Linked DNA regions of Styela clava. The protein of the gene in region 2 purifies or fractionates together with the protein of the main gene of each other region. This does not show direct contact. Links are inferred from orthologs where the notes say so. Each region holds a gene or a part of one and is shown on either strand. Other genes may lie near its edges. The genes, in order: histone acetyltransferase type B catalytic subunit-like and protein HGV2-like.

Region 1 (16,622 bases), on a different chromosome or scaffold from region 2:
ATATAGAAGTCATATTCGAGGAACTGTTCTCGGCAGAAATAGAACTCTGTTCTTTAAAATCCCAAATATGTATTTTATGACTTATTTTACAGGATTTGAATGATGTAATTGAAAATCGACTTGAAAACAAAGTTGCTTTTGTGAGACAACATGCTCAGAGAGTAAGAATTCATTCATTATTGGTTGATGAATATTTGACAGCTTACATTAAGAGGAATAGTTTTTTCAAAGACCCTGATGCAGTGAGTATACTGTTAATGTTTTATTTTTTTTGTTAAAATTTCCTGGCCTTCTTATCTTAAAAGTACAAGGAAGAAATCTATGAAAATGAGCTGTAAAGTTGTACTGAGTGATATATTTGGTTGGAAGTTCAAAAATATCATCTGCAACTAATTCTGGGCACAAGCTTCGAATCCAGAATCGTACCAAATGCTATAAATAATTAAAATAAACTTGTAATATAGGATTTACATATTTATCTTGGGGAGAGGTAAGCCGCAAAGACAGCTTAGTCGTATGGCGAACCACGGTTTCTCGTCCGATTACCAGTCCATGTTGGGTATGGGATTAATTTGACAGTCACTCACTCTACAGCGATGAGGAGTCCAGCAATCCTCTCTCACATAATTATCCACAGGATTTGAACCCTCGCAGGGTAATGAGAGGTGCGGTGGCGAGCACACTTCTGATGCTTACCACGATGTGCCACACCGCCGAGCCATATGTGTCACAATGATCTCCAACATATGGTTGGCATATGCTGTGTTATTGATGTAAAAAGCAAGTAAATTTTGCAATTTTTTGCACAGTAAAATATATGTTATAAACATTTTACTGAGCCGTAATTTGAATATTATGACATCACTAGTTTATTGAGAAATCTTCATCGTGTTGAATATTCTCCTCAAGTAATATTTCTGCATAGTCTTTTTTTTGTATTGCAGATAATAGAAGACTTGGTATCACATCCAGAACATCACAATATTTTTCAAAATGTCTGGTCAAGACACAGTGTCAGTCAGTTTGACATGCCTTCACCTTCCCTTTATTCTGAATTTTTTTCTTTGAATCCTTTAACAGATTTCAAACCTTTGCAGCAGTATTGTAGATATTTTAATGGATGTGAAATTGATAAACTTGAAAATTCTATTTTCAAAACTTTGCCGGAATTACTTGCTAGAATAACCAGTCAACAAAACTCTGGATATTCCAGATACGAGCTGTAGTATTTTTTTTTAACTACGATGCACTTGCCAAAATTTAAACTCTAACAGTGTTCAAATTGCAACGATAAATTTATGCATTGAGTGGTGACTTATTGGTATATATTTTTTTACTTCAGGCAATTTTTTTCATATTTTAAGTTCACAGTGCAGTTTTATGCCAGTGCTGCTTTGTTTTTTCCACTGTTACCGGTACTGCTAATAAATCTTCAAAAGTCGGCAATTTTGTATTGTCAGTGAGCGACAATGTAGATAGTTCAACCAAGAATTTGGAATTATGAATGTTGCTTGCTTTAATCCTTTGCCCCCTTGAATAAGTAGATGATGCGGAAGAGGCGCAGCCAGTGGGGATGCGGGCTGTAAAATTTTTTGAGGGCAAATTTATATTTTCTGCTCAAAAGCTGCGGCGTCATTTTAGGGCCAGCGCATCACGTTTTCGTGGTCAAAAGAATATTCTGTGCGATATTGCTATTAGGATATGTTATATTTTTAGTTGGCGCTGATATGGACGCTTATCACCGTAATACTTCATATATTTACCATAGGCATAGTTCATGTTGATTTTATTGACAAGCGATGGTACAATATTCAGAATCAAGTGAAAAATAAAATTATTCAAATGGCATGCATGGTCTTTTAATGAAGAATTGCCAACTGCAGCAACATCGAAAGAATTTATCTTAAAAGTACATCACAGAAGGATATTCATTCTTCGACGTTTGGAAACCCTCAATGGCGATTGTCGAATCCGCGATAAAGAGGTGCAATTGTTGAATGCAATCCAGTACGGTGTATTTTCCTTTCTCTCTAGATTAGAATCTAGACGGATAAATGAACCAAACTAAACGCCGTTTTGGGCGTTCAACGGAGAAAAGTGGTATATGATAATTTAGGGTCTTTCTTTTCAAAATCTCGACACAATCCAAGTCACGGCCGTCATTGAAAAACAAACTAGACTTCATTACCATTAATTTACAAGTAAGAGTTAAAGAGTGAGAATTTACCTACGACTGTCACCCACTTACAGAAACGATTGTTTTCTTTTTGCGCCTGTCATTTCAATTCCTAATTTTGCATAAAGCGCGTCAACATCATTTTGTGAATTTGAAAACTTCAAACCAGATATAAAATAAGGCAGGTAAATATTGTATTTATCGAAATTTTTCCGATACTTTGGGGAAAATATTGATTTTACCTTTTAGAAATAAATGACATTATTCTCGATTTATTTTAGTATCAGTATTTTAATTCAAAGCTGAGTTGAGTTGAATACTCGATGACCAATCTGCGGAGTTTTTAATTATTATTTAACACGAAAATAACACGGACAAGATATAATATTAAAAGCGCAAAAAAGTCAACTGTCAGCTTCATAATTATCCACTTCCCGGGGTCAGTGATGATAATATTGTTAAAATTGGGACCGTAATTTACAAAGTGTAATATATATGGAGGATTGAATCTTACGCTAAAAATCAAAATAAAATTAATTTGTGTTGTGATTTCACTCCTCACTAGCTTTTTTGATATCTTTGCCAATGTAAAATCATATTTTTGCATGAAATAAAATATAAAAACCAAACTTCGATGTCCGCCCTTGCGTGAGAAATAATACTTGATTAAAAAAAGTGCTTCAATATAGTTTTTAGTATTATTTGGGATGTCGGCCGCCAAAACGATCGCGGTGACAAAAAAAAAATCAGCGATTATAACAAAATTACCGAGTTTTCTAGTAAATTACATAAGGTATATTGACAATACTCAAATATTCGAATTAAAAAAAAAAGATTTTGCCCACCACTAATCACGGCGAATATGAATATCCTAATAAATGTCAATAAAACACTTTATCGACTCTACTTGATTAACATTAAATTACAAGTAATAGTTTCACATTTCAGGACATTTGATCGATGCAACATGCGAGATTGTTTTTGTGCATATGAATGATTATAACGCCACTGACATCCGCGAGTGTAATTGTACTTCTCTTTAAAAGTAATTTTCACGATTTTTATCGTTTATTTCTAAATGCGGTTACTCAAGAAATACTTTCTTACGAATCCGATTGATATTTCTCTACACACAAGAAATTTGTTTGAGAAGCACTGGCATATATCATTCGTTTATTTTCTATATTCATTTTGTTTCCGTTGTATTTCGTGCACATTTAACACGTTCGCGCAAGGCTTGGGTCATGGAGAAGTACTGGCGTTTTAACATTCGGGAGAGTGCAGTTACATTAGTTTTTCTCCGGCAAATAGCTAGCTAACTTATGAACAATGAAGAGCGAAGAACGCGACATGCTAACGCTGACTATGAAATAAAGGTCGACGATTAGTAGATGTTCAAACAATCAAGCAAACGACGCCTGACAAAGGGAGGCGAGCTACACGTAACTCAGGAATTTCGCTCGGGCGACGCTATTTTTAGTTCTTTAAACGCCTTGCGTCGTCATAAATGGCACTCTCGGTGCCCTATTTTAATTTCACTGTTAAACAGTCCTAGCTGCACCCTGATGGCCAATTCACAGTGATTGAATACATACCTGCCTCGAGAGTCGAACTTTTGTTGCCAACAACAAACAGACCCGAATGCCAACAGACCTACCTGCCTAGTAAGCCAACAACCTTTTTGATTTTAAATCCCCAACCTTGATTCATTGCTATTGCATATTGGGGCCAACTTTGCATTAGAAAAATAATTTTGGGTTCTGACTGATGCTATTTCACATTGAATAAAGAAGTCAGTGGAAGACACATAATAATATTTTTATACAGGAACAATAAGCAGGAATAAGACCAGAAAGTGTGTTTGAAACATGAATAGTAACAATCTAGGAACAAACACTGTAAACTGCTATACCCAATAACAATTATACCATCTCTAGGAATTTCATACATTAAATATTAAGTTAGGCAGTTGTGAGATTTCTGACATAATAAATTTGGAACCTTATATCGTACAATGGAAATTTACAAAAATAATTTCAACAATATCAATAGAAAGTTTTGTAACTGGGAGTTGAACAAATATTCATCACATAGCATTTTTATTCAACCTCTCAACTACTGGTAAATATTCTTCCAGCAATCGTGAAAACTCGCTCTCCAGAATGTTAAATCGTTCGTCATTAGATGGCATGATGCTACTGTCCAACTTTTTACCATACTGTTTTGCCGTGAATGGTTGATTGAGTCGTCTCTTGACTTCAAGCCTGTATGGTTGTAATGAATTTTCATTCAAAATATCAGTGTTTTTCAGCCTCAAAATTTCATATATTCTTCTAGTTTGTCTTGCATTAAGCTTCAACTTTTTATTACATTCTTCAAACATGCATTTTGAAAATCCGTTCGGCAGTTTTTCAGGTTGAAAGCAGTCAAAGTCTATGCAATTTCGGCAATCAATAAAATCTCGTATTCGTTGAAAATTCTCTGATGGATCTTCAACACATATATCTCTAATGTTCTCTCTCGTCAAGAATAATTTTTGAATAGCATCCAAGATTTCGGTCGCATGGCCCTGACGTTGATATGGTGGTAATATAAGAAATTGACTGATTCTAGGTCTGATATGTTCAGGATAAGCATAAAAGTTGTAAACTGTGCAATATCCTACAAATAAATAAGTAAATTCCCCACAGTTCCTGGATCGTTTTTCAAAAATGGTGTAATATTCCCATTTTTCATCATCTATGTCTATGTAACTTGCGGCATCAACAAACCAATAAAGAAATGTCTGCATTCTGCCATGATATTCTCGAAAACCTGGATCTTCAATACTAGGATGAAACATCTCAAAAACTTTCTCTGTTCCATCTTTGTATGTTCTGTTATACTGATATACCATTTCACCATGTGGATGGAAATCTGAATCTTTTTGCAGATGAGATGAATATTCATCTAAACTTTGGCAACATCCAGGAGGAAGAACTTCTTCCATTTTTTTGTTAATATTATCCACTTCAACGCCAAATTTTTCTGGGTCGATTTTTTCCGAATACTTCATACCAAGATATCCAAATAATTGAGTTGCTGAATAAAATAAATCTATTCTTAGATCTGCGTAACCAAAAATCTGTTCCTTTTCACCAAAGATTTGGTGCGACATGTCAGGATGAAATGTTTTCTTTTCGTTCTCGAAGTCACTCGTATCTTGAATCATTTTGAAACAGACGGCATCATTTGCAGAACATATATATTTATCAATATTATTCTTTAATGCATCAAGGCCTCCGGCAGCCATATTTATATTAGTCAAGTACAGAAATATGCAACAGATTATAACTCTATGTTCAAAAAAAAATAAATATAAAAGTAATATGAGTTACAATATAGCAAGAATATAAGAATTATAGATGCCTGGATATTATTCACTATGGTACCATGTGCATCATTTTTCCTTAAATATTGACCTGGAGGTATTTAATTTCCCTGTTTCCCGGAAGTGTGTTTTTACCAAAAACATCTTGTTTTCCCATTTTCTTACAATGCTCACCACTTTCAGACTTCAATGACCTACAGGGGTGGTGACTCCTCTACGACCCATGGGCCGGGGCCACGGCCCATCAAATTGGGCCACATGGGCCGTGGCCCATCAAGCTATGGGCCGCGGCCCCGTCAGGAAAAATTCAATTATCTTACCAAAATTTTCAATTTTTACAAAATTGTCAATATTCGAACCAAAAAATAAACTCCTGTAGTATGTGTACCAGGTTAGGGTTAGGGCAAAAATTTGTTCAGATTTTTTACATTATAGTTCTATTATGAGTTTGGGGACTGTTTGTGTTAGCCAAGTGAATAGTTTCTTTACACAACTTGATGGGCCGCGGCCCATAGCCTGATGGGCCGAGGCCCAATTTGATGGGCCGTGGCCCCGGCCCATGGGCCGAAGAGGAGTCACCGACTCACCACTTCCACTCTCAATGACTCTGTAGACCTATGTGAAATAATCTGATTAAAAAATGAGCATCTTTGATCTTCGTACAATCATGGCTGCATGGTGTAACGTTATACTGTTACCGGTACCGGTACCGTACGGTACCGCTAATCTGATAGTGAAACTTTTACTAAAAGCAGGTAAGTGGACCTGCTGACGAACCAGCATTTATGAGTTACCGTATCGCTCCAATTGTCAAGAAGTCTACAAATACCACCCACTGACATACTGAATTTATTCCTGGTTTATTGGCCTACATCAGTTTTAGAATCTAGAATAGAAAAAGTGTGTGCCAATCCGCCTCTAAATAATGAAAGAATGGTCAACTCGATGAGTCTCTGAGTCTGTGGCGCGAATCCAATCCTGAGTGACAGGTATGATTTTCGCTATAGCAAACACGATTAAATTTGAGAAACCGTACAAATAATTTTCGAGTTTCAGAAATGATCCATTTTTGAGCTACAACAAACTTTATACTTGGACCAAACTTTGTCAGATACGTAAAATTCAACATGCAAAAATAATGACTTCCTAATAGTCCTATATTGCATCGGGCTAGCGACGCAAAATGTTCCACTCCCAAATATTTTTATATAAAATTGCAACACTAATACATATGTTATCAGGCAAAATTGAATGTAATTGTTGTATAGTAGGTACATGAAACTTTCTAACATAAGTTTAAAGTCTCTATGCGATAAGTAGCACATCGGTTGTCAAGGTAGACTACTTCACAATCAGGCTATAGAATCTTAGATAGATGGTATGTTTCCCAGGTTTCCCCGACCACTTTTCTCCCAAAAATATTCCCTATTCTTGCTATTGCAAAATTTTGGATGTTCATTTTGAAAATTTTTTGGAGAGTTGACACTTGCACACTGATTTAAGTGCTTAATATAAGTTTATATCGACCTCATAATCAGCATAACAATAAAATGATTGGTAAAAAAAAAACTGATCATGAAATCAGGAGAGCAAACAAAACCTTAGATAAGGTTTAAAACGTACAGAATGTATATAAGATGGAAGGTTTTGCCAAGAAGAAGCGGTACGTGTTCACCCACCTAAACACGCACCCACACACACAACCATAAAAAAGTTATACAGTAAGAATAACATGATAAATAAAAAACGATAACTTAAAACGATAACTTCAGTCCAGTCTATCGCAGCTTTGCCGAGGCTAATCTTTGATTATTGCAACTAAACTATAGCTCATCGGAAGACATAATGACAAATAAAACACTTCATTCACTAATGAATTTCGAAAACACAATTGAAAACTGACAAATAACACGCGAAACCGAGGCAATTTTTATAACCATGCTTGAATATCTGTGTTAGCAAAGTAACGTCTGGGCGGATGCTAAAAATTGTTACGTCGTCGTTGACTTTTTGCTGATTGGTTATTGTTACGGAAATAAACAAGGTAATCGATGCTTGGGTCCATTTATTGGATAGATAGTTTATTTATAAAAATCCATAATAACAAACACAAACTAAAAATGGGGAACTCTGGAACGTCCTGTGGGTCTTGTGCAATTCATTTTCTCTAACTGTAGTTTTGTGTGGGGACGTCAATGACATTAATGTCATTGGGTGACGTCAACCAAAATCAAAAAGTCAAAGTCGGTGGTTTTTATGGAGACGGCAGTACTGGAAATGATATTACAGTAGGGACTCGGATCGATTCGTACTCCAATTCACGTTGCAACTCAATCATGAATCGTCATAGACCCGCCTGGAAGAGCTAGCACAGTCCACGCATCGATAACAGAAACTGGTAAGATGCCGTGGCTGTTCTGCAGTTCAGGATATCGTATGATTTTCGAAGAATTGATGGTTAAATAATTCGTTTTGACTTTCGTGTTATGAACTTCGTTTCCATAGATTTGATCATGACTCTCTTGTTAGTTACCTATAATAGTTCTGGATTTTTAAAGTTGACGAAGTCGATAAATTTTGTCGTTTTGCATGTTTCTTTGTACATGTACCGTAGTCTTATTTAGTAGACCTAAATTTAACAATTTTTATACGAATGAGAATCCCATAGACTAGGCTCGGCGGTGTGGCGCATCGTGCTAAGCGTATTGACAAGGCTCGGCGATGTGGCGCATCGTGCTAAGCGTTAGGAATACGCTCGCCAGCGCATCTCTGATTACCCTTCGTGGGTTCGCAGGTTCGTGGAATCCCATGCAGGATGATCATGTGCGAGAGAATTGCTGGACTCCTCGCCGCCGTAGGGTGGTTCACGTAACCACTGGCCGGTTACAGCTTCCTCCACCTTAAAGTCCATGCTTCCGAAAACAAATAACTGGCTAATTAATCCCATACCCGACCCGGACTGTAACCGGACGAGAGGCCGTGGTTCGCCATATGATTAAGCCGTCTTATCGGCTTTCCTCTTCCCCCCGGGATAAATATGTAAATCCTATCCTATCCTGCCTTCTATTGTTGGTTGGAATTGGCTTCGCCAGTTTGTCAACTACATTTGTCTTCGTTACAAAATATAATAATGGGTAGTTGGCTATTTCCAGTTTTTACCAACTAACTCTGTGTAAATAGTATTACAACCTACATTACATATAACATAAATATCCTGGCCACCTCACAACTACAAATGCTAACTGGTTTAAAAACAAAATCATGGTATTCCTCATAAAGCTTAGTGCGCTGCAGTATGACAAATTATCACAAATAGAATTCAGGACATATAATATTCAATTGAACAAAACTAAAATTGGAACAGAGCAAATTTATACGATTTTATCGGTTTTTCAGCTCATCGGGAGTGAGATCAATTTCAATTCTCCCCACGGGACTTAATCCTGGCCCAATGGTGTGTGGAATGAGGTATCCACTTTTCTGAACCTGTCAATAGATACAAAAAAAAAATTCATTATTTTGTTGTATCCTGATTCTATTGAAAATATATGTCAAATTGAAATATTTACTATTAAACACACTTTAAGGTGAATATGTTTCGATTTAAGCCATATTTAAATTGGAAACTTGCATTAACTGATAAGAATTTGAAATGGAAAGTTCAAATTGATTGGTTTCATAATTATATAGTACAGTATATAGTTTATAGTAGTCAAATTTTCAGGTGCAAAAAATTTAAATATCTTACCACCAGTACTGCTACTAGAAAAAATGAGAAACCAGAAGCAAGCATGGCATTTCCGCTTATTCCGAAAAGTTTGTTTTTCAAAACTGGATATTTATTGAAGCCTGAAGACATTCTTTTCTGCAGCAGTGGTGCTGAAGTAAAATTATCATAATGAATGCACAATATTTTTCTAAGGTGGTGACGAGCAGATTGGGTCAGTCAATCTTACAAAGGTTATTGAATGTGATCTACCCCTGGTAATATTGCCCTACCGACCACCCATTCATGAAATTATCAATGTCCTTTTTTCTGAATCATAACACTAGTTTACCAGTAAAAAAATATTTCTAACTTTTGACTGCTGGTGGTGGAAATGCAGCATTAATAAGTTCACAAGCTAGTGTTTCGTTATATAATATTGACCATGAGCAATGATTCAACTATGACAGTAATTAAGGATTACCAATTGGATGTCATCCAACAAATGGATATTTGTTTAAATGACTGTAAGCTTATCCACACTTTCTAAAATAATGTCAAACAATTGAAATTTATAATTACGAAGGTTAACCGGTTAATTTTGCATAGCACACAGTGGTGTGGTTAATTAAATGTCCTAGTTTCCAACTCCTAGGAAAGAGCGCTTCAGTGCGAGAAGGTAGGAACTGACAGTACACATTAGATTCTATCAACTCTGAACTAAATGTTTATTAGCACAAGTTGTCAGTGGACATCAGTTGATTCAAAACACAAAGTTGTTAAGAAAACTCATCAAGCCACTATTTTACAAAAAATTTAGAATAATTGTCCGAAGGAAACTGTAATAAAAGTACAGTATATTTAGCCATGGAATATTTGGGATGTAAGCAAAGCTTTTATTAACAAACTATTGCAAAACTATGAAATGTATTTGCAAGCCATCAACAAAAAAATTGACATTTTAAATCACACCTAGACTTTTACAGTTAATACAAAACATAATATTACAGTATTTTTCTTATATTTCGATATGCAAAGTTCAATGAGAAAATGGAGTTAAAGAAATTCCATTCAGTTCATTCCATAATTTTGTTGGGTATTTTGTCCAAACTCAGAAATACTATATACATACGACTATCTGTATTTTATTATGCTATTCAAGTATGGTCATGTTTATTTTCGATACAACATCCTTGCTGTTATACGCATACAAATCCACGAGCACCAATGCATTGGGGAAGGATTGGGAGTTGGTCTCACGTAACCTCTACTGATAGTTCGTCTATATCTTTGTTTTGATGTTATTGTTGCAAAATTCAGATATTGGTGACATATCTACACATTGCGGCGTTGGCAGTCAAAATGACTTCTCAAAATTGTAATACTGCCATAAACAGTGTGTTGCCAAAATAATAAGGCCTTCCAAAGTATACGGTCTAATATCCACAGACAAACATCTGAAATCGAGCAAGCTATTCCTCTTGTTTTCTCGTCGTAACCGTACTGACAAGAAAGAGATTGCTGGCATTAGTAAGTTCATTATATTCTAGTCGGTACAGAGGCCATTTCGGACGATTGTAGCTATACCCTTTCTGACTTTAGCAACCGCTACGATGGTGCAGTGACGTAATTTTTGATGACGTACTCAGGTGGGGGTTATCATTATGCCACACCCACTACAAGTTCATGAGACCCAATTATTCTAGCATTACCCGGTGCACAGACTACTGGAATTAGGAATTGTGAAATCCTAGACCGAAAATATCAATTTACGGTACCTACCGTACCGGTACCGGTACTACTTCCAATATATTAGATAGATAGTTTATTTTGAAAACTCCATAACAAACACAATAATATGGTATCAATGTGACATAGAGCAAAGTGTATAACAATAATATCAGTTAACTAACCTCGTGCAAGCCTGAGAACAGTTGACCTAATCATCGTGGAATGCTGAGAGACTTCTCACGTTCAAAATAAATCCGATGAGAACCAAACTTCGACCTAAAGAAATCACCTTGCCCCGGATATATTTATTTCATTCCCACGCGGATTTAATTTTTAATGAGTCAAATTGTAATTATTCGTTAATATGACATGTTATTAACCCAATGCTACCGAACTCAAATTTTGTTATTTTATATTGGCACTTTTCTTTTTCTTTTCAAATCGTCAACCAATATGCTTTGAAACTCCACTGATGGTTTTACCGCAACCATGATTATAGCTAAAATAGTTACCAAAAAATTCATGATTTAGTTTTTAAATTTCACCACTGCACTTGGAGATTTAATGACGTCACGACCTAATTATTAGGGCATCAAAGCTACAATATTGAAGAAATGCAATTATATCGATGAAAATAGGCGCGACAAGTCGTAAACAAGCCAACGCGCATCGTTACAACGACACGCTTTGACGATCGATTGCTTCATTATTGTTTAGAATTTGACCACTCAACCCACTATGTATGACCAAGTATGGTAGGGTAGAATGTTCACATTAAAAGGCCAAGGATAGAATGAATCAGTAAAAATACAAGCTATGCTAATACAAAGTCCTTTGAATGGAAGTATTTTCATGATAAGAACCTGTCACTACGTGTTTTACATGTTTTCATAGCAATGATTCATACTTCTTCAAATCGGTGCTATTTATAGAACTGGGATTTTCAACGAAGCTGGAAAACTAAATGCAATACATAGCCACCATCTATGCAATGAATACACGATGAACTAAACAGGAATATAAATTTATACACGGAATTCATGCAACGACAAAGAATTTTACGCTGGGGCCGCCCTACTTTGCTCGGACGTTGCTCGGAAACAAACCAAAGTGTAGGTTGTAGATAAATATTATGATTATTGGTCAGGCAAACTTGTAGCACTTTAGTGCGAAAGCACAGTAATGGTCAAAAGACTTTGCGCGTAGGGCAAAAATAATTTGACGAAGTCTGTTAAGAGATAGCGTTAGAATTACCATTTCCCAGAAAACTGGCGGACCAATCGGGACGAAATTTGGCATGAAGCGGGAGGTAGTTACCAAACAAACACAGAAAATTTTTGGATACGATCGGGCCAATGGAAGTGGGTTAAAATGGGATTTTAGTGGCCCGGAGCTGCTTATTGGTCAATCAAGCTGTCAGTCAGTAATGCTAGAGTGATTTGGGGGTTTAGAGGCCATTTAGCTTTGTTTCCGGAATCGGAAAGCGTTTGCCCGAGCATTGGGAATTATTCCAAGTATAATTGGGGGTGGGGGCATTGCTCCCACGCCCTCTGTGGTGAGAAAACTCGTGCAAAGCCACGCCCACTTAGGTTCTATTGTTTTTAGGAGATTGTGAGACATATGAATGGGGTTTTCGGCAAAGACTTGCCTAATTCTCAAAGAGTATAACTAATTTAAATTTTTTTTTTACCGAAAAATCGGTGCTTCCCCTCCCAATCGCCATCCAGTGGCGTAAAATGTTGCGCACCCAAAAATGGAGCTATTGAGAAATAAAATAGATAGGTATGGTTGGAAAAATTAGTTTAACATGTTTTTGAAGAAATTTTTTTTCTCCTATCCCCCAGTCACTTTTTAGTGATTTTGGCTTATTGCAGGCCTCTGAAGGGACTTATTAGGAAAGAAAAGGCATGGGCATTTTTAGAAAAATTATTTGAATCCATTTTAAAAGAATTTTTTTTCCCCCGCTACTCAGTCATGCTCCAGTGATTTTACGTTATATCTCGAGAATGGTGAAAGGCATAGATGCCATATTTGGGTCATACAAGGTAGTTGAGGTCTAGTTGATATTAATAAAATTTCGTCACGGTTGAGTGATCACGAACCTTAAAATTGGAAAAATTCGACTCCGGCGCAACGCTCCGAGTCCTCCAACAAATTTCAAACAAACATCTGCTTCTTAATTTACTAAAAATATTTCTATACATTTCCCCTCGCGGGTAGCGTAGCGACCTCCCCTGGATATTAGTAACGCGAACAAACATGTGTTATTACCCTTGAGGTGTATACACTTCAATGTTATTTACCATATTGGCTCGGCGGTGGGGCCTCGTGCTAAACGTTAGAAATACGCTCATCATTACCCTGCGTGGGTTTGCAGGTTCGAATCCCATGCGGGGATAGTTATGTGCGAGAGGATTCCTGGACTCCTTTTCGCCGTAGGGTGGTTCACGCCACCGCTGGTCGGTTACGACCTTCTCCACCATCAAGTCCATGCTTTCGAAAACTGGCTAACCATACCCGACACGGACTGGTAACCGGTCAAGAGGCCCGAAATGCTCTGACAAATTCAATGGCATATGACAATTGTTATATGTCATTGGACAAAACAAAATCTCAAAGTCGAAATACTATTGTGATAACCGACTCCCGGAAATTCGAAAAAAAACGGACTCATGCTACATCCCACTGAAAAAAGACCACTGTGAATCCAGCAGAATTTCAGCAGAAAAATATTCTGCAGTTTTCAACCGATTCCCACGCGGAATATAACTAATTTTAATAATATTAATTACGAATAAACGGATCCTACTCAGAATTAAATGTTCCGAGAAAAACACACCGGAGAAAAAGATACGTTTAAGCACATTAAGCTGGTACTGGTAATTATAAAATACATAAATAAAATTCACATGACGGAGAATCACATAAAAAAAGAATATGTCAGCACGAAAAACCAAACAAAATCTAATATCACATAATGGAACGCCAAAAATATCGGTAGGTTTTTTTGCAATGTTACTAATGCTAACTGTAATGTATGAGCCCAAATTCGAATATAATCCACGAAATGCCGACAAATTATAAGAGTAATTCTGAATGATATAGATAGTCACAAGTATTATATATGATATGGGGTAAGGAACAAAGCGAGTCTTCATGAAGTATAGGATATCGGAACAAATATCGGCCGTCAAAAATTGATGAAAATCAGATTTTGTCATATTTGATGCGTCATCGATTACTCGACTACAAATTCGAATATGTTATTTTACTTTCCGACAATTTTTGACAACGATTTCGTTTATATGTATAATTCAAGTGTCCAACAACAAAGTATGATCACCAGCAGAATGAAAATTGAAAAAAATATGAGCCTTCAAAAATTATTGAAAATCGTATTTAGTCGTATTTTGTGCGACTTCGGTTGTTCGACGCCAAATTCGAATATGTTATTTTATTTTCCGACAACTTTTGACAACGATTTCGTTTTTAAGTATAACTGAAGTGTTTAACAACAAAGTATGATCACCAGCAGAATGAAAATTAAAAAAAATATGGGCCTTCAAAAAATGATTAAAATCGCATTTTGTCGTATTTTGTGCGACTTCGATTGTTCGACGCCAAATTCGAATATGTTATTTTATTTTCCGACAACTTTTGACAATGATTTCGTTTTTAAGTATAACTGAAGTGTCCAACAACAAAGTATGATCACCAGCAGGATGAAAATTGAAAAAAATATGAGCCTTCAAAAATTATTGAAAATCGTATTTAGTCGTATTTAGTCTTTGTAATGTTACTTCATTAAGTACTTGTATTGGTGTTTCAAATGTTACGAAACGGCCCACTTAAACTTGATATTCCTTTGACATTGGCGCACATTATGCTCATTTAAACATTGAGGTAGTATCATTGCTACTCAAAATAAATGAATGAAAACACTGTAACTCAAATATAACACTCAGTTTTGACGCGATGTATGTGTTCTTGTGTGGTCGTCAAAAAACCGCAATTGATTCTTTGATTCGGCGGCCCGCGAGTGTCATGTCCACTCCCCGTGTTACCAGATATTCGAATAGTAAACTGCTATTCTAATATTCGACTTGATATTCGAATTATTTGCCAGCCCTGCCCAATAACCAGAAAGCAATTATTTACGTGATTAATTTTATGTTAATTAACTTGCCTTTTACGTATTATGTAAATTATCTACACCGAAATTAGGACTTTGCTGGTATTAATGTTTGGTACAAACGTTTGCGGCCCGCAACGAATTTCGTCAAGTGAAAGTGGCCCGTGAGACGAAACAGGTTGGGCAGGCCTGATGTAAGCTATAGCTATTATTATGATTGGTACGACGAATTACTCGGTTCTTTCATATTATCAGTTACAATGCATAAAACAACTATATCAATGCAATTTCATTTATTCAGCACATCTAACCCATCTCCCAGTAAGTTTAGCGCATTATGAAGGTTCGAAATAACAATGTACAACTCCATGTATTTAAATTAATTTTCGAACCATATTCGAGCCTCGATTTCAAGCAGATTTTGAAGGCATACTATGTCAAGATTTGTTCTGCTGCTGGTGTTCAGCATTTTTCATCTATTATGAATGAAAACCCCGTGATAATTTGTCGTTACTTTGCGGATTATATTTGAAATTGAAGCCGAATCATCTATTTCAAACCAAATATGACAAAATCTGAAATCATTGTCAAAAGTTGTCGGAAAATAAAATAACATATTCGGATTTGGCGTCGAATAATCGATATCGCACAAAATACGACAAAATACGGTTTTCATCAGTCTCTGAAGGCCCATATTTTTTTCAATTTTATTCTGCTGGTGATCATACTTTGTTGTTAGACACTTCAGTTATACCTAAAAACGAAATCATTGTCAAAAGTTGTCGGAAAATAAAATAACATATTCGAATTTGGCGTCGAACAATCGAAGTCGCACAAATTACGACAAAATACGATTTTCATCAATTTTTGAAGGCCCATATTTTTTTCAATTTTTATTCTGCTGGTGATCATACTTTGTTTTGTTGGACACTTCAATTATACTTAAAAACGAAATCATTGTCAAAAGTTGTCGGAAAATAAAACAACATATTCAAATTTGGCGTCGAACAATCGAAGTCGCACAAAATACGATTTTTATCTATTTTTGAAGGCCCATATTTTTTCAATTTTCATTCTGCTGGTGATCATACTTTGTTGTTGGACACTTCAGTTATACTTAAAACGAAATCATTGTCAAAAGTTGTCGGAAAATAAAATAACATATTCGAATTTGGTTTCGAATAATCGATTTCGCACCAAATATGACAAATTCCGATTTTCATTAATTTTTGCAGGGCCGTATTTTTTTATTTAGCATTCTGCTGGTGATCATACTTTCTTGTTGAACATTTCAATTATACTTAAAAACGAAATCTTTGTCAAAAGTTGTCGGAAAATAAAATAACATATTCGAATTTGGCATCGAATAAACGATTTTTCTCCAAATATGACAAAATCTAATTTTCTACAATTTTTGAAATCTCATATTTTTTTAATTGTCATTCTGCTGGTGATCATACTTTGTTTTTCGACACTTGAATTATACATAAAAAAACGAAATCGTTGT
Region 2 (17,587 bases):
ACATTTGTGAACTAATCCATCAATAAAATATTTAGTAATATCCATAGTTTAGCCCATCCTGGTGCCTAATCGGATTTTATCACGCTACGTGTGGCTCGGGTGGCTACAAACATCAAGCAATGTGTTCGTTAATGTGCTGAATGTCAGCGTTCGAAAGAGCAACATCATACACGTATATCCAGATGACAAATATCCAAGTTCCAATGCGATAAATTCAACTCTGTAAACGGTGATATATTAGGCACCCTTGGTTTTAAGCAAAGGCTACTACTACATTCTGATATGTGTAGAGCAGGGTGGTCCAAGTTTGTTGACCTAGCGGGCCACAATATTATTCTCGGATTGTTATATAAATTATATAATAGTGCCAATATTATAAACAGTGCAATACAAACATCGATCATTATTTGTCATTTAGCTAATACATTTAAAAACCACCCTTAAAACCCACTAAAACGTGCAAAGATCTTACCATATCCACATTTGGTGTAAGTTTTCAAGCTCTTCAGAAACAGAAATAACAAAAAAAGTGTCTTAAGGAGTAAATGTACTTTTTCATTATCACCGACAAAACTCACATACGTAGTAAACAAGCATTGTGGTACTTTCCCTCCCATATCCAGTCAAAAATCTGTTTGAATTGGTTAGCATTCTTTTTAAACTCATGTTTACAAAATAACTTACAGATAACTGCAGATCGATTGATTGGAGAATTTTACCAAATTTGAGATACAAGGTAATTACTAATTTTCTGACATATGGGCAGCATTTTCTGCAAATATATTTTAGGCTGTTTGTAAAAATCCATCCGACAGAAATTATACTATTCGGCCATTAATATTTAGTTATCAGGCAAAGCCAACCTAGGCTAATGGATTCTTCATCCGAATTTTAGTTTTCTATGAAGCCTATTTTGTTAGAATATATTCCCAACCAAAATATATATGCAAAGTTAATTAACGATTTAGACTAGCCAAGCAAGCACATTATTCAACTTTAACTCTGGTTATTTTCATGACAAAACAATACCAACCAAATGCGATTTTTTGTTTAGTTTCGCACAAATGCGACGCGGGCCTGGGTTTGGACCACCCTGGTGTAGACCGTTTCTCACGTTGGTTGTATCGTATTGAAATGAAGAATATAGTTCGTTTCCGGTCTCAGCGATACTTGCCCCGATATCAGTTGAAGATATTGCTCATCTGACTTTAATCAAATTCGGACGAAAAAAATCTGTGTAGGCAAGAAACTGTGGGTGCACCAAATACCTTGCTGAGATAGGAACACGGTAACGTTTTCACTGCATCACGGAAGCACACGTCACAAGTAGCCTATAGCCTCCATTAGCAGAATAGCAGACCTACTACAGATTTATTAGGGAGATGAGAATGGAAAGGAAGTCCTATATTATATAGTCTTCACATGATACCAGCTACATTTGTCTGTTTTTTAGATTTAATGAAAAGCAAGGATTTTGAACAAACCATGGTCGTTAATTATTATAGTAACTAGTCAAGAATCTCCTATCTTTTTTTTTCATTGACATTGATTTCATGGAAATAAATTTCAAGGAAAGCATATCGTCATATATTATATATGTATAACATATTAACGTAACATAACTTCACTCTTTTGAATATGACATTGCCCTGGTTAATTGCATACCTGTTTTCGCTTTCTCTTACACTTTGGATAAGATTAACAAAAATGCCAAATATTAGAAGAACACGTTGCAGTTTACAGCGATATATGAAACAAACGAGCACACATCAATATACAATTGATTAACATGTTATTCGTAGGTTCAAAATAACATTCCTTTTTGTTCACAGTAAATGGCGGATTCTCAGTGATAATATATTCATTAAATTGTGTCCAAAAATCTTGGTTGGACAATCAAAAAATAAATGAAATAGGTCTTCAATTGCAGTTTCACAAAATCCATAAAGATTTGAATTCACCAGGTTAAATCCATATAAAATATTTTTAGCACAATGGCTTTCAGAAAAAATTTAGTTTGAAAAGATCTCAATCTAGTTTCATTTGTTGAATATTAGTTATTTGAAAATATGCAGCCAATTAAAGTCATTAGGTAAATTTGGATTTTCTTCACAAAACCTTTGTTGTTTTTTACCGGATAAAAACTCATCAAAATCAAACATGTCTATATTCTGTAAACAATTAAAATCATTAAAATTCTCAATACAACCCATCCAACTTTTTGGTATGCAGACAATTAATTTACAATAGTCCCTATACTCATTTACATTGTACTCTATACCGTACTGTTCTATCAGTTAAAATTAAAAAAAAATACAGAATTTTTGTTCACCAAATGATGTAATTCCCAGACTCCGTTTTCTTTCCAATTTTTATAAAAAAAAAATGGCATTCTTGCATATTGTAATTTTTTGTTGTACCATAACGGTTCAATATAGAGATGTATATTGGCATTAGATGGTAATTCCACATATATGTACCAGGTACAAAGTGTACCCTTAATAGTTAAAAAATGAAGATTTTTTATGAAGCGAGAGTTATGTCACAAATTTCACATCAGCAAACTATGTAATTCTATATCTCTCTTTCGATTTATCAATGAGGTGATACAACCATTTCCGTTTTTCAGAAATGATGGTAGTTTTTAACGCCTACCATATCAGTTCCGTCTTTCATTTTGGGACCAATCAGTGTTTTACGTTTAACTATTTCCCGATTTGAGTTCCACAGGAGACGAAATATTAATAAATTCAGTGATTTTACAAATTTTTGGGTATAGTAGGCTAACTGGTAAAAATGTACATTGATGAGTAAAAAGAGATAGAATTAATGATTTGATTACACACACTTTTCCTAGGATTGTTAATATTCCCATACACCAAATTTGGATAATGTTTTGTATTTGCTGCAACTTAGACGGTAAGTCAAGTTCATATAGCCTAGTTGGTTTAAATTAGTCGTAGTTGTAATTTCCAACAATTTTAATTCATAATTCCAGTTGAAATTGTTGAGAATAATTTGTACAATTATATCATTCTTAAGTTCCAATATTCATTACTTGTTATTTTCCAGCATTTGTTTTGCACCCTGGTATATTGTCAAACACTTCAGCCGTTCGAAATAAAGTTTTCTATGCTTTTAGATCAACCATCAGTAAATACTACGGTATCATCTGCAGCTAGAGCTATTTCAATTACGTTTTCTGTTATTTTAAATCCAGTGATATCTTCGTTGTTACGAACCATATTTGCTAAATGCCTATTACTATCAGGAATGAATACGATTCGATTAGGTCGCCTTGTTTAAGTCCTCTTTGTAAAATTATTGACACAGAGAAGAAAATGTTGTTTGTTTTGGTTATAAAGAATTTTTATCCACGAAATGAAGTTGTCTTGAAATCCGAATGTTTTTAGGTTCTGGAACAGGGAACACCATTCGAAACTATCAAATGCTCTATGAATATCTAATCCAAATATTGTGTCAGGTAGTTATTTCATTGTATGTTGTATGGTGAATTATATCACAGAGTAGTCGTATGTTTTCTCCCATTTGTCTGTTTTGAATAAATCGATAAATAAATTTTAATATTTGTGAATTATATTGTTCAATTACAATTTGAATTTGTGTCGCGAGAACTTAGCATTTGTGTATTCTTATGCTGGTACTCGACAAAATATTTCTGGCCCGTGAAATTTTTGATGATAGGCAATGGTTCAGCTGCCATGTGTTAAGTGATGACGATGAGCCACACCACCACCGCGCCGGTAATTAAGAAATTTATGGGTTCTGTTTTTTGAGGTAACCCAGTGAATGCGCTTTTACTATTATTTCATGACTCATCTTGTCATCCAATTGGCACACTTTCTTATATATATATCGACCTGTAGTTGAAAGTAAAAGATGACTGGAAATTGCGATGAGATTGGAAAAATGAAAATTACTTTTATATTATGCCCTTTTTGTTTGAATGCTGTAAAACATTTAGATATTTACTCAAGGTGATCGAACTATGAGTATCCAGTATCTATAAACTACGTAAAACAAAAAAAGACAACTGAAAACGTTGAGTTATTTCAATATTTATGATTTTGTAGCCTATAAACGGCCTAACGGGCGTATATTGAAATATGATGTTGCTGTATCTTTGGATGAAAAATCGTTATCCCTATCAATTCGATGCCTCATCTATTCAGTCGACTTAATAAGGTTGACACTATAGGCTCTGCCGTTGGTATCTGCACCATTATGTGGTGTTATATTAAAGACAGTCGGGGATGGGGTGATACAAAAATAACAGAGATGTAACGTCAAAAACAATCGGATTCGCGTCGTACGATTTCAATTCGACCAAAAAAAATTCATGATTTTAATGAGCATATTCTGCATGGTCATAAATCATTTATATAATACTCGCCTAACCTAAAAAACCTGCCAACATTCACCCATTTATCACACTTGTTAAAAGGGAGACTGAGTGATGTTGCACAATGTATGTGTTAGCAGATCTCTATCCGGTATACCATATTCAAATTCCCAGAAAACTCCACCCAAAATTCTTAGCGAGACTGAAAACGAATATTTTCCTGTTGACCTATAGAGATTAATGTAAACAACATGCTGGTCAACAAATTTATCCCATTCCTCGCTATTATTCCGATGAGACAGATCAGTAATTAAAGTTAATTAGAGGCATTAGATAATTATCGTTTATTTTATCGAATTGCTACGTATAAATCAAATAATACATTTAATTAATTATAGTATCGTTGACGTGTGATGTTTTGTTGGCAGATAGCAATGCAGTCTTTTAGTAAGACTAGACTAATCTTATATCACTAGAATCGAAATATTTTCAGGAATCACGTCAAGTCGACTGTTCAAGTGGAAAAAGCATGTTTATATCAACGGACTGCAAAATGATACATGATCCTTCCGTTTATAAAATTAGTATCCGCATATGCATAATATATACTTCTGTCAAGTATCCAAAACTGAAATGTCCATATTGGATCAAGTAGATTCACTGATCACTATTGCTCCTGGCTGACCTTGCATTGGCGGATATTGATTGATACATTCATTCTTCAACGTCATGGTAGGAGAAATGAAACCATTGTCAACCAAAACTTCAGAAATTTTTTGAAGTTGAAATACGTTGATCCGAGGTGTTTTGGCTTTCACGAATGCATTCCAATCTGACGCAAGAGTATATAAAATCATGTTTAATCAGCAAATTATATCCAATATTGATATCGTTTCAATCATATATATCTTCGAAACGAAAACTTAAAACCGATGTAGATAAAATATTAAATGAAGCCTAACAATATAACCATGATCATCCTCCTATAAATGCCCTTTACAGCTTAAAAAGCGGATTCTAGAGAAGATTTTTTCAAAAGAATTAAATCAAAAGAAGGTGAAATGATGGAGGACGACAAAATTGTGGGGCGAAATGTCGGGTCTCATAAGGTATGAAAGGTTTTAAAATATACGTGGAAGAACAAACGTTTTCATGCGGTATCTCATGAAACGCAGCTTTATTATAAAACGTGTAGACTACAACGGAAGAGGCCATTCAAATGGGTATCCACACTCATATCCATCGCTACTCCTAATACAAATCGTTACATACCTCGCCCATAGAAGAATACAGCAATGAAATAGCTTTCGTAGTCGGTAAGGAATGTTATATCTGCATCCAAATGTCGGCGTACAAGTGGGTCGATATCTGTTATTTAATAAAGTAAAAGCAGCATGGTTTTAACAAATTATGAATTTAATAGGTTGTTCTGTGTCATGTCTACCTTCTGTTTCCGCATATATCTTTTTTGTAGCGAATCTATGGAACATATCTGTATATGTCTTCCCTGCAAATAAAAAAAGGGTCGATTGTCGAAGTATAATTAGAAACTCAATATTTTTTGAAACAAAGATAAAATTTTTCACTCTTCCAATGATGGTGCTCTACATACTTACGGTCAGATTCTGTAGTATGATATTTTCCAGATGGTTCACGAGCATATTGAACATTGTAAAGTCTACTTTGTCTGAAAATTTATAAATTCATTTGTCGGAGAAGATGAGAAAATCAAGCACATAAATATAAAAAAGAAATACAGGTACTAAATATAATGATGAATAAAAACACTTTACCCTTCTGCATAAGTTTCAACCGTGGCAGTAACAAGATTTTCAAAACAGGTGAAATTGACAAACTTGCAACATCCTATTGGTATCTCCGCCTGTGGAACATCGATAATGTCATACAATGGCAGCATTTGCTGAATCTGAAGCAAACATATATGAATATTTGATAAAAATATTTACCTTTGAATACAAATTCAGATACAGTATATCACGACTCAAAAATTTTCCAATAACACTGGACATCTTTAATAGTTGTAGTTGTGAATGGTCCATTTAATCTCAGGGTTTTCATTTTACGCGCGAAATTCTATTTGTGTGGTGTGTTACGTGTGTATGATTGAATCTTCGGTATACCAAGGCGCTTTGAACAAAAGTTATGTTCTTCGCAGGATATGTTCCGAATAACCTCTCCGGCGTTGGTGACTAAGGATCTAAGTATGATTACTTTAAAGTATTCGATTCTTACCCGAATTCTAAATTTTCGATTCCGATTCTCGATTCCGAATTTCGATTCCTCAACATATATATTTCCGAGAAAACATACACATCTAAGCTATACCATATGAAATCAAACAAGAGAGCGATGTTCGAATATATGGACGGACAAGAAGGCCAAAACTAAGTATAGTATGGGTATTCAATCTGTCACAGGAGACTAAATCGCGAAATATATATACCGTATATATATAGTGAAATTTGCGACGTCGTAGCAACTCAACATAGCAGTTTATACATACCGGTATATGTGAAGAAATTTCCACAAAACGTTACGCATTGTTTGCAATCCAAGTTTTAACCTCGAGAATCGATTCCAATGCATAAAATTGATTCTAGTCGATTCCGCAAAGAATTGATTCTGTAATCGAATCCGGATTCGATTCCGCCACCCCTATTGATGACAGACAGCGTACCCTGGGGGAGAGGGTGTTGGGGGTCGGACCCTCGCCACTTTTTAAAATTATAATAGAGAATTTTCTGTATTATCCACGGTAAATTTTCGTAGCTTGAAATGATTTTATATTCTCAATATTCTCGAAAACCAACGTTTTACAACCTCCAACCGGACTCGCTAGATGTTACGGTCTGATTTGAATCCTAGAATCACCCCTAGAATTTTTTGAGGGGGCGTGAAGCTAATTAACAAAAAAAATTTTCGTTAGATTTGATCTTGCCCGCCCTATTTTGAATATTTACATTTCTTAATTTATCAGCCAAAAACAATTATTCACGTTCCGTCCGCGCATTGTCAACGTATTTTTAGAATTAAACATACTTCCGGATTAACTATCTGTTATTTGTATCTTATTGTGAGCTGGTTATTTTTGAGGTGGGGCAAGAGACTTGCTAAATTATAGAAATGCGTCGCGGCTTAAAAAGTTTGAGATCCACTGGATTAGATAATTCGTTTGTATTTATGCCTCAAAAATTCAACATTCAAGTTTTTTTGATTAAGGTAAAATTATTTTAGAGGCTTGAATTTATGAAAATAACGCCGCGGGATGATCACTTTTCGACGCACAGCGCACACTGTTTCTTTTGTGGTCTTTCGTGATTCACAAGCTTTTGTTTCATCAATTTTCAAATTCTAGTCGTTAAGGTGTCTCAGAATGTTTTAACACAAAGTTGGCAGCCCTACTCCCACCCTACACACATGGCTAAGATATCGATTTTCTGGTTCGTACCACGCACGAAGAAAGTCTTACTGAGAACGATGAACTCAAAAAAACGTGCAGCTCGGGTAGCCATTTCCAAACATTGCAAACTGGTCCGTGTTAGTGTGAAGACGAAAATCAAGAACTGAATACGCAACATATATGGCGGTTATGGTCATCATATGGACTGGCCTACCGCCGTCCACACACGGTAGCACTTTTGTGCAAAATGTCCAACTTTACTAAAACTTGTTTACACTCAATTTTCTCCATTTTTATATAGGTAATTAAGAAATTTATGGGTTGGCATATAAGAATATATATGTACTAACAGGCATACGTACGTACCTTAACCCAGTCTATTTCTTGCGTAGATAGTGCTGAAGAAGCTTGTGTAATTATATTTACCGAATATAATAAACACATTATTGCAAGAAGTCCTAATACCGCCATAGCCTTCGTAGGGAAGAAATGTAGGCTACTATATAACAGTGAATTAATGCTAATAAGTAAAGTAATGAAATCAAAGGCAGCGTAAATCTGAATAATAATAACAACAAACATTTACTATACAATTATGCCCGAAATTGAGTATAATAAATCCAACCTTCATTAAAATTTTAAAATTGGTCAGATAGGTAGATTTATATATATATATATATAGTTCGATAGTTAAAACTTATTTCCGGTATCATAGAAAATGTGAAAAGTACTTATTTTAAGAGATAGCGCTTGCTTACTAAGCATTCGATTTTGAAGCATATTTCCTTGTAATCATACTTCAGTAAAACTGCCGAGAGTTGCTTGACTTCACGAGTTGTAAGATTCCAAATCTGCTTGCATGCTTAGCGCGGTTTCAGAGTATATATCATAATATTGTTTATGTTATGTAAATCTATCGCATTATATGCAGGTTTTCTTAAGCAACGCGTAAGAAAACGCTCTGCCCGAGAAGACGAATTGTAACAGAACATTTTATCAAAATCAATACAGTAATGCTGCTGCTGTTCTATTGTTGTTTCTAAAACAAAGTATAAATCAGTATCACAATAACATTTTATAGTTAGGCATCTTTCGGTATGTTGAAACGAAAGCTAGAAAGCCATATAAATTGAACCGGATAAGTACTTTTCAAACTTAAAAACAATATTTTTTTAGAATAAACTATTCTATTACTGTGCTATAGAATATAATTTTTCGTAACATATTATGATACTAAACTGTTTTGAATACTACGGTATATTGAAATAAAAGTAAAAAGAATTTTTTAACTCCGACTACAAGTAACATCAATTTTTCATTAGCAGCTAAAACACCAAACTCGAATGACGCAATTGAGCCCAACATTTACAAGTATTCAAAATCCTTTTGCATTAGCATTGCGCACAAATATTTGCGGATAGCAATTTGGGGAAATCTGTGGTAAACTACTGCTTTTTGCCAATGGCGAGGGTATAAAATATGACATTGCAAACAGTGTCGACAGTTAATATTAGTCGTATTTATTTTCTGTCCCATCTTTTTCCAGTCTATCGTAACAAGGGCCATATTAGGACGATGCGAGGCTCGCCTTATGGCCTGGGTTACTCAGGAGCACACTGAAATGTACCACTAGATGTGATTATATCTGTTCGAAAGAATCAATTTACAGTCACATAGACGAAAAATCTAAAGTAGAGCTAAGATCACTTCCATGGGAAATCGTACACTGTTCTTCAAGCGGAACGGCGGAACGCAACCTACGCACAACATGCTACGTTTCGCGCCGATTTTACGCACAACAACAAAACATTGCTGAGTGAAGAAATCATTGGACAAGCGTTTCGTTGATCACTCGAAACTTTGGTCATTTTGTTGGAAACGTGGCGCTGTAGGGTTGATTTTTTGTTGACACATGGTTTATTTTCGAGGACTTGTTTGGTCCTATTTCTCTTGCGGCATCGTCTGGTTGCAGGTATAACCCCACGGTCAGGAATTGCGGAACTCGAGGTTTTGATATTCTGATATTGGCCAACTGACAGATTGATCAAATTCAAAGGGCTGACTTGCTGAAGAGACACCTCCTTATTCTGCATATCCACCGCCAAAATCGGTGAAATTTTAAAAAATAAAGCTCAGAAGTGGACTACTAAGTCCAATATTAGAGTATTCTTCAATATTAATTTTAAACTACAGAACTATCTTATTCACGGGACAGCCTGAGATCACAAAATCAAGACACCATGGTTCAAGACCCAAAATCAGATGATGCTCCATCAACTGGACAGGGACAAGAGATAGAGGCGTGAGTTGGCTTGTAGACTAGGCCTTTTTCATTCAGTATTTTTTTCTGATCATCTTAATTCTGAAATAAATAAATTTCTGATCTTCGAATACCGTCTGACCGTACTCAAATCTGCAATTAATAAATTACGGTAACCAAATAAAGCTTGACTTGGTAAATTAAAAAAATGGCTCAATTCGGCAGTTGCAGAATTAGTCTATGTTACCAAATGCAAAAAATGTGAATATTTTTAGATTTCAGTATTTGGATGTGATAGACTATTCAAATATTAACTTTTAACTTGGCGCGGCGGTGTGGCTCAACGGGCTAAGCGTTAGGAATACTCTCGCCACCGCACCTCTAATTACTCTGCGTGGGTTCGCAGGTTCGAATCCCATGCAGGGATGGTTATGTGCGAGAGGATTGCTGGACTCCTCGCCGTCGTTCAGTCGTTGGGTGGTTCACGTAACCGCTGGTCGGTTACGGCTTCCTCCACCACCAAGTCCATGCTTCCGAAAACAAACAATACAGTAAAACTAATCCCATACCCGACTTGGAATGGTAACCGGACGAGAGGCCGTGGTTCGCCATATGGATAAGCCGTCTTATCGGCTTTCCTCTCCCCCCGGGATAAATATGTAAATCCTATCCTATCCTAATATTTAATTTTTCTCATATATGGTACTGTCTGATTGTAGGTTATATAACAGTAAAATCCTTCTCCCTATCTCCTTGTTTCTGTAAATGAAGAAATTAAAATATCGTTGCTAACTTACAGAGTTAGTCAGAAGACTGGAATAGCAGTTGCTAAAAGTGTCATGTCGGAATAATAGTTTTTTTTCATGTTTCTATATTTGTAAAAAGTTATCTGTACTTCGCTTGATTCAGTAATATGAGAAATCTAGCTATAATATAATCTCATCTAGAACTTTTAATTTCTGCCTGCAGACATATTTAAATATCATAAAAAGCATTCCTTCACAAGCCACATGTTCAATCACTGTAACTATAGTTTTGTTGATTGATATTTCTTTCAAACAAATTCATTCCTTCAGGATGAGGTAATTGCAACCCAGAATTCAAGTGTATGACCTTTAGTGTTGTGTATGTATTTCTTGGCGATACAATTGTTTCAAAAATTCATATTAATTTTCGACAGTTCGAAAAGTTATATCTGTATTTCATACCACATATGCTATTACTAGTGGTTGAATTTATTAAGCCAGTGTTTAATTTGTTGAATGCTTGCAATATATTAGTACAGATCTGCAGACTAGAACATTGGTTGAGTCTTAGTTAGATAGCCTACATTCGATTTAAGTGCGCTATCGATACTTTGTATTTCTATCTATTGTCTTAAATTCTCCTATTTTACCACATTTTTATTAATTAAAATTTTCTATTTCAGACCTGTAGATGTTGATAAAGAAATCAAAGACAACATGGGGGCAGGCAAAAAGCATCTCTTATGTAGTGATTATCCTGAAGCTGTTGCTTGTTTTCAGGATGCATGTACCTTACTGTGAGTTAAATTAGGTATTTCCCCAGTTCCCCTATTCCTATTGGTATTTTTTCTGAAAATTTGTGCAATACAATTTCGCTTTGTTTGCCATTGCCATTGTGAAATTACTTACATATCATTCGATATTAGTTGGTGCTTTGTTCAGAGCGATAAGTGTAATATAAAAGAATAAATTGTAATGATCCGTCACATGTTTTTTTCCAGTTATAATTGTGTATTTACAGGTCAAACAAGCATGGGCAAATGGCTCAAGAATGCAGTGATGCATATTATTACTATGGAGTTTCTTTACTAGAATTGGCAAGATTGGAGAATGGTGTTCTTGGAAATGCGCTCAAAGGAGGTAAGCTCAAGGTTTTTCAAAGATTGTTCAATTCAATAGTAACCTAACTATCTGTACGAATAATAAAGCTAACAGAATTTAGTCTCTTTTACTTCTGTCTACTAAACTTATATTCATTTTTTCATTAGTGCCAGAGGACGAGGATGAATCTGACAAAGATGAAGAACAATTTGAAAAAGCAGATCTTCCAGGTATAAATCAGTGTTCCAGTGTTTTTTTCCATCCTCTAGCTTTTATAATTTGTATTGTTACTCCTCTGCCATAGCAACCTCCTAGGTACTGAAAAGAAAAAGTTTTGTTGCGTAATACTGATAACTAATAATGCTAAATATTGGAGGATTTGTTAAGTAACAGATGACAATTACCATCACATACTCTCACTCTCGCATTGTCATATAAGAATCACATGTATGTACCTTACTATGCCATTCAACATTGACGTCCTTTTATCTATCCCTTACAGCTTGTGACCAATATGAAGCGACACAATGCGTGTTATTTTCAAATGTTATTTCCACATATTCCACCATTTTGCTTGAATCAGTTGGTGTTTTATATCCCAGACATTGCATTATATAACACAAATGCAGTGTAATATTTCCCATTCCTATCAATTACCTGCTGCCAGTTTATTTGTACTTTTTAATTTTTGGTACCAGTCCACAAGTGTAGAAATGTTGAGAGCTATTGGTATAATCCAGTTTTACTCTGGATTTTATCTTGGAAAAGATGTTTTCGCAGAGTAGTCATGAAAACTATTGTCTTGTTTCATGTTCAATATGAATTGTGCAGGATGAATCTGTTATCCATGCATATGTTTTAGGAAGTTGAATATCGTGAATTTGTACTTTGTTTCAACTAACAACTTAATCTGAACCAGAACTCCTGGCTCATTGAAAAGACTAGATTTCTCTTCTAGTTCTCGTTCAAAGGAATTTCCCCATAGGAGTTCTAGTGGAAAGTATCAGGTCTCTATAATTTACAATCCGAAATATTAGCACTGTCATGATCTCGAATGCCACTACGCCCACTAGTCAGTTAAAGTAAAGTGTGGATATTGGCTAACTTAAACATTGCTCTCAAGAGGGGGAGCGTGAAAAATTGAGAGAGGAAGTTGAGGCTGCCATGGCAACAGAGGATGAAGATGCAGCAGAGGAGGAAACTGAGGGGAAAGAGGGTGAAAAACAAGAAAAAGAATCATCTACTGAAAAAGGTCCTTGCACCCTTCCTAATGAGTGTTTTGTCACTTTTTTGTTGGACTTGCACATTATTCAGTGATATTTGTTTGAATTCTTTGTTCTATCACTTTTATTGTGAGCACTCCAACATAGCAATGTTTTGTAAATTTATAAACACCATATTTTAACCAGGTCCCCTTTTGTGTGTGGTAATAATCAAAATTGAATAGATAAAAAATATAATAAATCTGCCATCTTTTTTTTAATCGTATGTGATGGGTTTCAAGCTTTTATAGGTAATTCTTGCCCTTATAGATGATATATTTCAATGCTATTCATATATTGCTTCAATTGTTGTGACCAAGGAAGGGATGCGAGGACCTTGGAAGTCTATAATTATTTTTAACTCTGCCACTGTACAGAAATATTGGAAATTCCAGATTCTACCATCGAATTAGTTTTATGGAATCTATAGTATTGATTATTCATACACAAAATCGATACTCTTTCTTAATTCAGAAAAAGGCGATGAAGAAACAAAGCCTAAAGATGAAAGTAAAACAACAGAAGGTATTTAATTGTATATTATGCCATCAATTAGAGTTCACTTTTTCATTACTTCAAGTACTCTGTTTTGATATTTTAGAACCCAAACAAAAGGAAGAAAAAGGAGAGGAATGTGCAAAACCAGTAAGTATTCGATTCGGCTAATAGTCATTTAGTTATATTGAGATAAATAAGGGAGTCAGCTACATACCTTTCTCTGTTCCTCGCTTTTGTTATGCTCTAACAAGATTGTCATAATTATCCTGTGGTATTGGAAAATCTAGCTCAATTCCTTTGAGGTGCATGAACTAGTTATGACTCGGGGAAATTTTTAGTAGATGGTTAATTGATTCTATCTTTTCCAGGAAACCTCCGAACCTCCGTCGAGTAAATCTGAACCTGCCAAGGAGGATGAGGCTGAAGAAGATCCAGATGATATATCTAATATGCAACTAGCTTGGGAAATGTTGGAACTTGCAAAAGTTTTATATAAAAAGTAAGTTGAAGCTTTGTTATTTATAACATTTAAAGCAGAATGCTTTTGAACCATTCAAAACAACTGATGTCTCCTGATTCCGGACTGACAAAAATTTCACTCTGCTATCATCTTCTCAAAAATCAAAAATTTCTAGTCTCAATTTCGGCATCGGAGAGTTTGGAAAATAAGACAAGCTTTTATTCTATCAACAGTAAAAACATAAAGCTCCACTGATTGTGGTTAACGATTTCAATAAATTACTGTCTAAAAATTTACATTATAATGTTGCAATGCAGAAGAGAAAAAAGTAAACCAAACAGTCTCATGATTGCTCAGTGTCATCTGAAACTTGGTGAATTAGGACTCGAAGTGGAGAATTATCCACAAGCCATTGGAGATTTTCTGGAATGTCTTGTCGCTCAAAAGGTATGATATATATATTTCGCGTTATCTTATTTCTAGTAATTGTAACAAAGTATTCACTTCACATATTAAGATTCATTATCATATATTGTCTTCATACAATACAGGAAATTATTTTTTTGCCCTTCAGAGAAATATATCATATTCAACATTGCATCATCTAGTTTTCACCATGATCAGAAGGCATATATTGGTATCCTAACATGTCGGATACATTACCATTTGAAGCCTAGTGAAAAAAATTTGTGTGTTGTAGCATTTGATAACGTCTTTGATAATGACATAGTGTGTATCCCAATTAACGTAACACTGAATTTGTAGGTATACGTCTAATAACTGTGTCAATTATCTTGTTTCAGTTTTATGATTTTGTTTTCAGGAACACTTGCCAGAGACAGATCGTAAGCTGGCAGAGACTCATTATAATTTGGGTCTTGCATACAGCTTTGAGAAACGATATGACAATGCTCTCGAACATTATCAAAATGCTTTGAACGTATTGGAATCTAGAGTTGGTAGGTATTTGCGGTTTCTAGTTTATTGAGAAATGCTGGTATTATTTGCATAATTAAAATTTCTCTCTCCAAATGTCTTTATTCATGAATGCTCTTTGCTCTTCAATCACTTGATCAGTAAATTGATTCCTTCTAGTGCATCTCTTACTTGTTCCAAGTGATTTCATTGCATTTCTCACTAATTTTCGAAATCTAGTGGTAATAATTAATATTTAGTCTCTATCAACTGAATTTTCGGAGTGCATTAAGATTTGTATCGAACTGTTTTCAAAATGAATATAATTTCTTTTGGCACACCCCACTTTGTATTTATATTTCAGAACTTCTTGAAGAATTGATTGAAAATCAGGAAGGTGAGAAGGAAAAGGAATCGGAGACAATTGCTGAATGCAAAGAAATTGGTGAAATAAAGGAATTGATTCCTGATATTAATTCGAAGGTAGGAATTTAGAAAGTAAACTGGTAGGTGGTTCTTTGTATATTGGAAAGCTGTTTATATGGATTTTGTAGTAAGTAAGCGTATGATCTTGTTGATAATAGTCTGGCACCAGTCCTTAAGATGTATTAGCATATGTGGATGTGGAAGTTATAACAGCATGTATCATTGTAGTTTCTCATGCTTCATTTCAAGGGAATGTGTGGTTTTTAGATTATATATTGCAAATTCTTTGATATGGATAGTGATCCATTATCATTTTTTATAATAGCATTAATTCTAGTTTCTAGTACTGGTACACATCCATTTTCAGATCGAAGATGTCTTACTCGTAAAAAAACAAAATGAAGGTAGATTGGAAGGATCTCCTTTTCGTCAATCTGCTGGTGAAACAAGTACTGGTTTTGATGCCGGCACTTCAGGATCACAGGATAAACCCTGCTCATCTGTAAGTATTGGGTAGCAAATTTTATAAATATTCAATTAGTGCATAAATGTTGAATCTAAAACAATGGCGTGAGGTTTTAGAAGCAGGTGGATTTAGCGATACTTATACTTATTTCAGATTCCTGTTCGTAAAGTTGCTCCAATGTCCTCTGCTGCTTTTACAAGCAAAGATTCATCAAGTGACATCTCACATCTTGTTCGTCGAAAGGTATATATATATTGAACACATATTTAAATCTAAATTAAAAAATTTCCCTCGGAAACTTTTTTGCATGTGTGTGTGGAAAACATGTTTTTTTTAATAAGTGTTAATACGTAAGAATTAAGACGGTATGAATTCTTTCATATTTTTTTTTTTTGAAATAGAACAGAATTCTGAGATTTGGGAAACTTTTGACAGACGCCTCCATTCTATTTATTACAAGGAAATTTTCTCAAAACAAGGTCACGCATACTTGCTCCCAATTATAATGAAATGTTCACTGAGCGGAGTTATGATGACCACTACAGTGCCAACGGACTAAAACCATAGTCTGGGACTAAAGCCATAGTGTAGAATTTCGCATTTAGTATATATTAACTTGTCAATTTATTATCAGCGACCTTCCCCTGATGAAGAAGAAAATTGTGCAGAATCGGAAGGTGATTCTAAAAAAGCCAAACAAGAAGCAAACGGTGATGGTGACAAAAAGAATGGTACTGCTGTTGCAAGTAATGGACATTCTGCGGAGAAAAATGGACATTCAAACGGACATTCCAAGACCCCAGAAAAAGTGAATGCATATAAATTGTTTGATCTTAATCCTAATTGTTAGCAAGGATTTACTAACCATGTTCTGCTATGAATATTGTTCGCCCATGATTGATTTTTCCTGCTAAAATTTATTTCAGAATTCTTTAAAATTACCTTTTTTTAGGCTGCTGAGCAATGTGAAGATGCAGCCGCAGCTTTAAAGAAGAAGATGGCCGCTGCTGGAGACGCTCCTGTTGCCATGGAAACTTGAAGGGATGGCCACGTCACTACATTGAAAGGTTAATACCCTGTCACACTGCCAGTCTTTCTGTTACAGTTCTACAGAAAAGTTACAAGTTTTGTTAAGAGATGCTTCAGACTACATACTTAACTTGATTATCTATTATGACTCTTTTCTCTTCGCATTGGAAGATACTGTTATCGTTTCTGTGCTCATGTATACTCTGCCTTTTTTTGCAATGTGCTATTTTTCATTGTTTATCTTGTTATTTCACCACACGAGGTCCTACGCCCAATGGATTAAACTTAACTTTTGCAGTTACTATGCTCTTATGGTAAATGCACACCACCACTACGTTCCAGGCACATTGGTAGTAACGAGGAATGGTAGTAGCACAGAAATTTTGTCTTTGATTATATTATGGATTTCGAATTACGAATGAAATGCGGCCGAGGCGGGTATTCCCGCAGCAAAATTGCTTGAGGCTCGCTTATGGCTTCGTAATAGTTCAGTACTACTTACTACATTTACAACTTTGGGGGTGTACTTGGATATGTGCCGGATGCGTTCTAGTGTAGAAGAGGGTGGGAAGCAGAATACGCTGGGATTACTCCAATGCAGCTTCCTAGATTCTTTCGGAGTACAGTTTCCGCTGGTGGT

The links.
Region 1: the proteins of protein HGV2-like (region 2) and histone acetyltransferase type B catalytic subunit-like purify together in Homo sapiens (affinity purification with mass spectrometry; 3 studies listed by BioGRID and IntAct, with this or other methods). This does not show direct contact. The link is inferred for Styela clava from reciprocal best matches to the Homo sapiens genes NASP and HAT1.

Annotation. Positions count from the first base shown.
Region 1 is NC_135263.1:14,087,182-14,103,803, reverse strand, and holds histone acetyltransferase type B catalytic subunit-like, read right to left. Parts: upstream 5,469-16,622; coding exon 4,263-5,468; downstream 1-4,262. Other genes in the region: sarcalumenin-like, read left to right, coding at 93-242, 945-1,226; uncharacterized protein LOC120340976, read right to left, coding at 8,928-9,032, 9,295-9,425, 11,166-11,199. UniProt on the Homo sapiens protein: Histone acetyltransferase that plays a role in different biological processes including cell cycle progression, glucose metabolism, histone production or DNA damage repair. Coordinates histone production and acetylation via H4 promoter binding.
Region 2 is NC_135259.1:2,809,058-2,826,644, forward strand, and holds protein HGV2-like, read left to right. Parts: upstream 1-9,598; 5' UTR 9,599-10,024; coding exon 10,025-10,086; intron 10,087-11,473; coding exon 11,474-11,587; intron 11,588-11,811; coding exon 11,812-11,930; intron 11,931-12,058; coding exon 12,059-12,121; intron 12,122-13,014; coding exon 13,015-13,143; intron 13,144-13,627; coding exon 13,628-13,678; intron 13,679-13,754; coding exon 13,755-13,798; intron 13,799-14,019; coding exon 14,020-14,150; intron 14,151-14,428; coding exon 14,429-14,558; intron 14,559-14,934; coding exon 14,935-15,070; intron 15,071-15,390; coding exon 15,391-15,509; intron 15,510-15,819; coding exon 15,820-15,954; intron 15,955-16,071; coding exon 16,072-16,161; intron 16,162-16,552; coding exon 16,553-16,726; intron 16,727-16,870; coding exon 16,871-16,957; 3' UTR 16,958-17,248; downstream 17,249-17,587. Other genes in the region: uncharacterized protein LOC144428011, read right to left, coding at 5,011-5,195, 5,636-5,731, 5,808-5,853. UniProt on the Homo sapiens protein: Component of the histone chaperone network. Binds and stabilizes histone H3-H4 not bound to chromatin to maintain a soluble reservoir and modulate degradation by chaperone-mediated autophagy.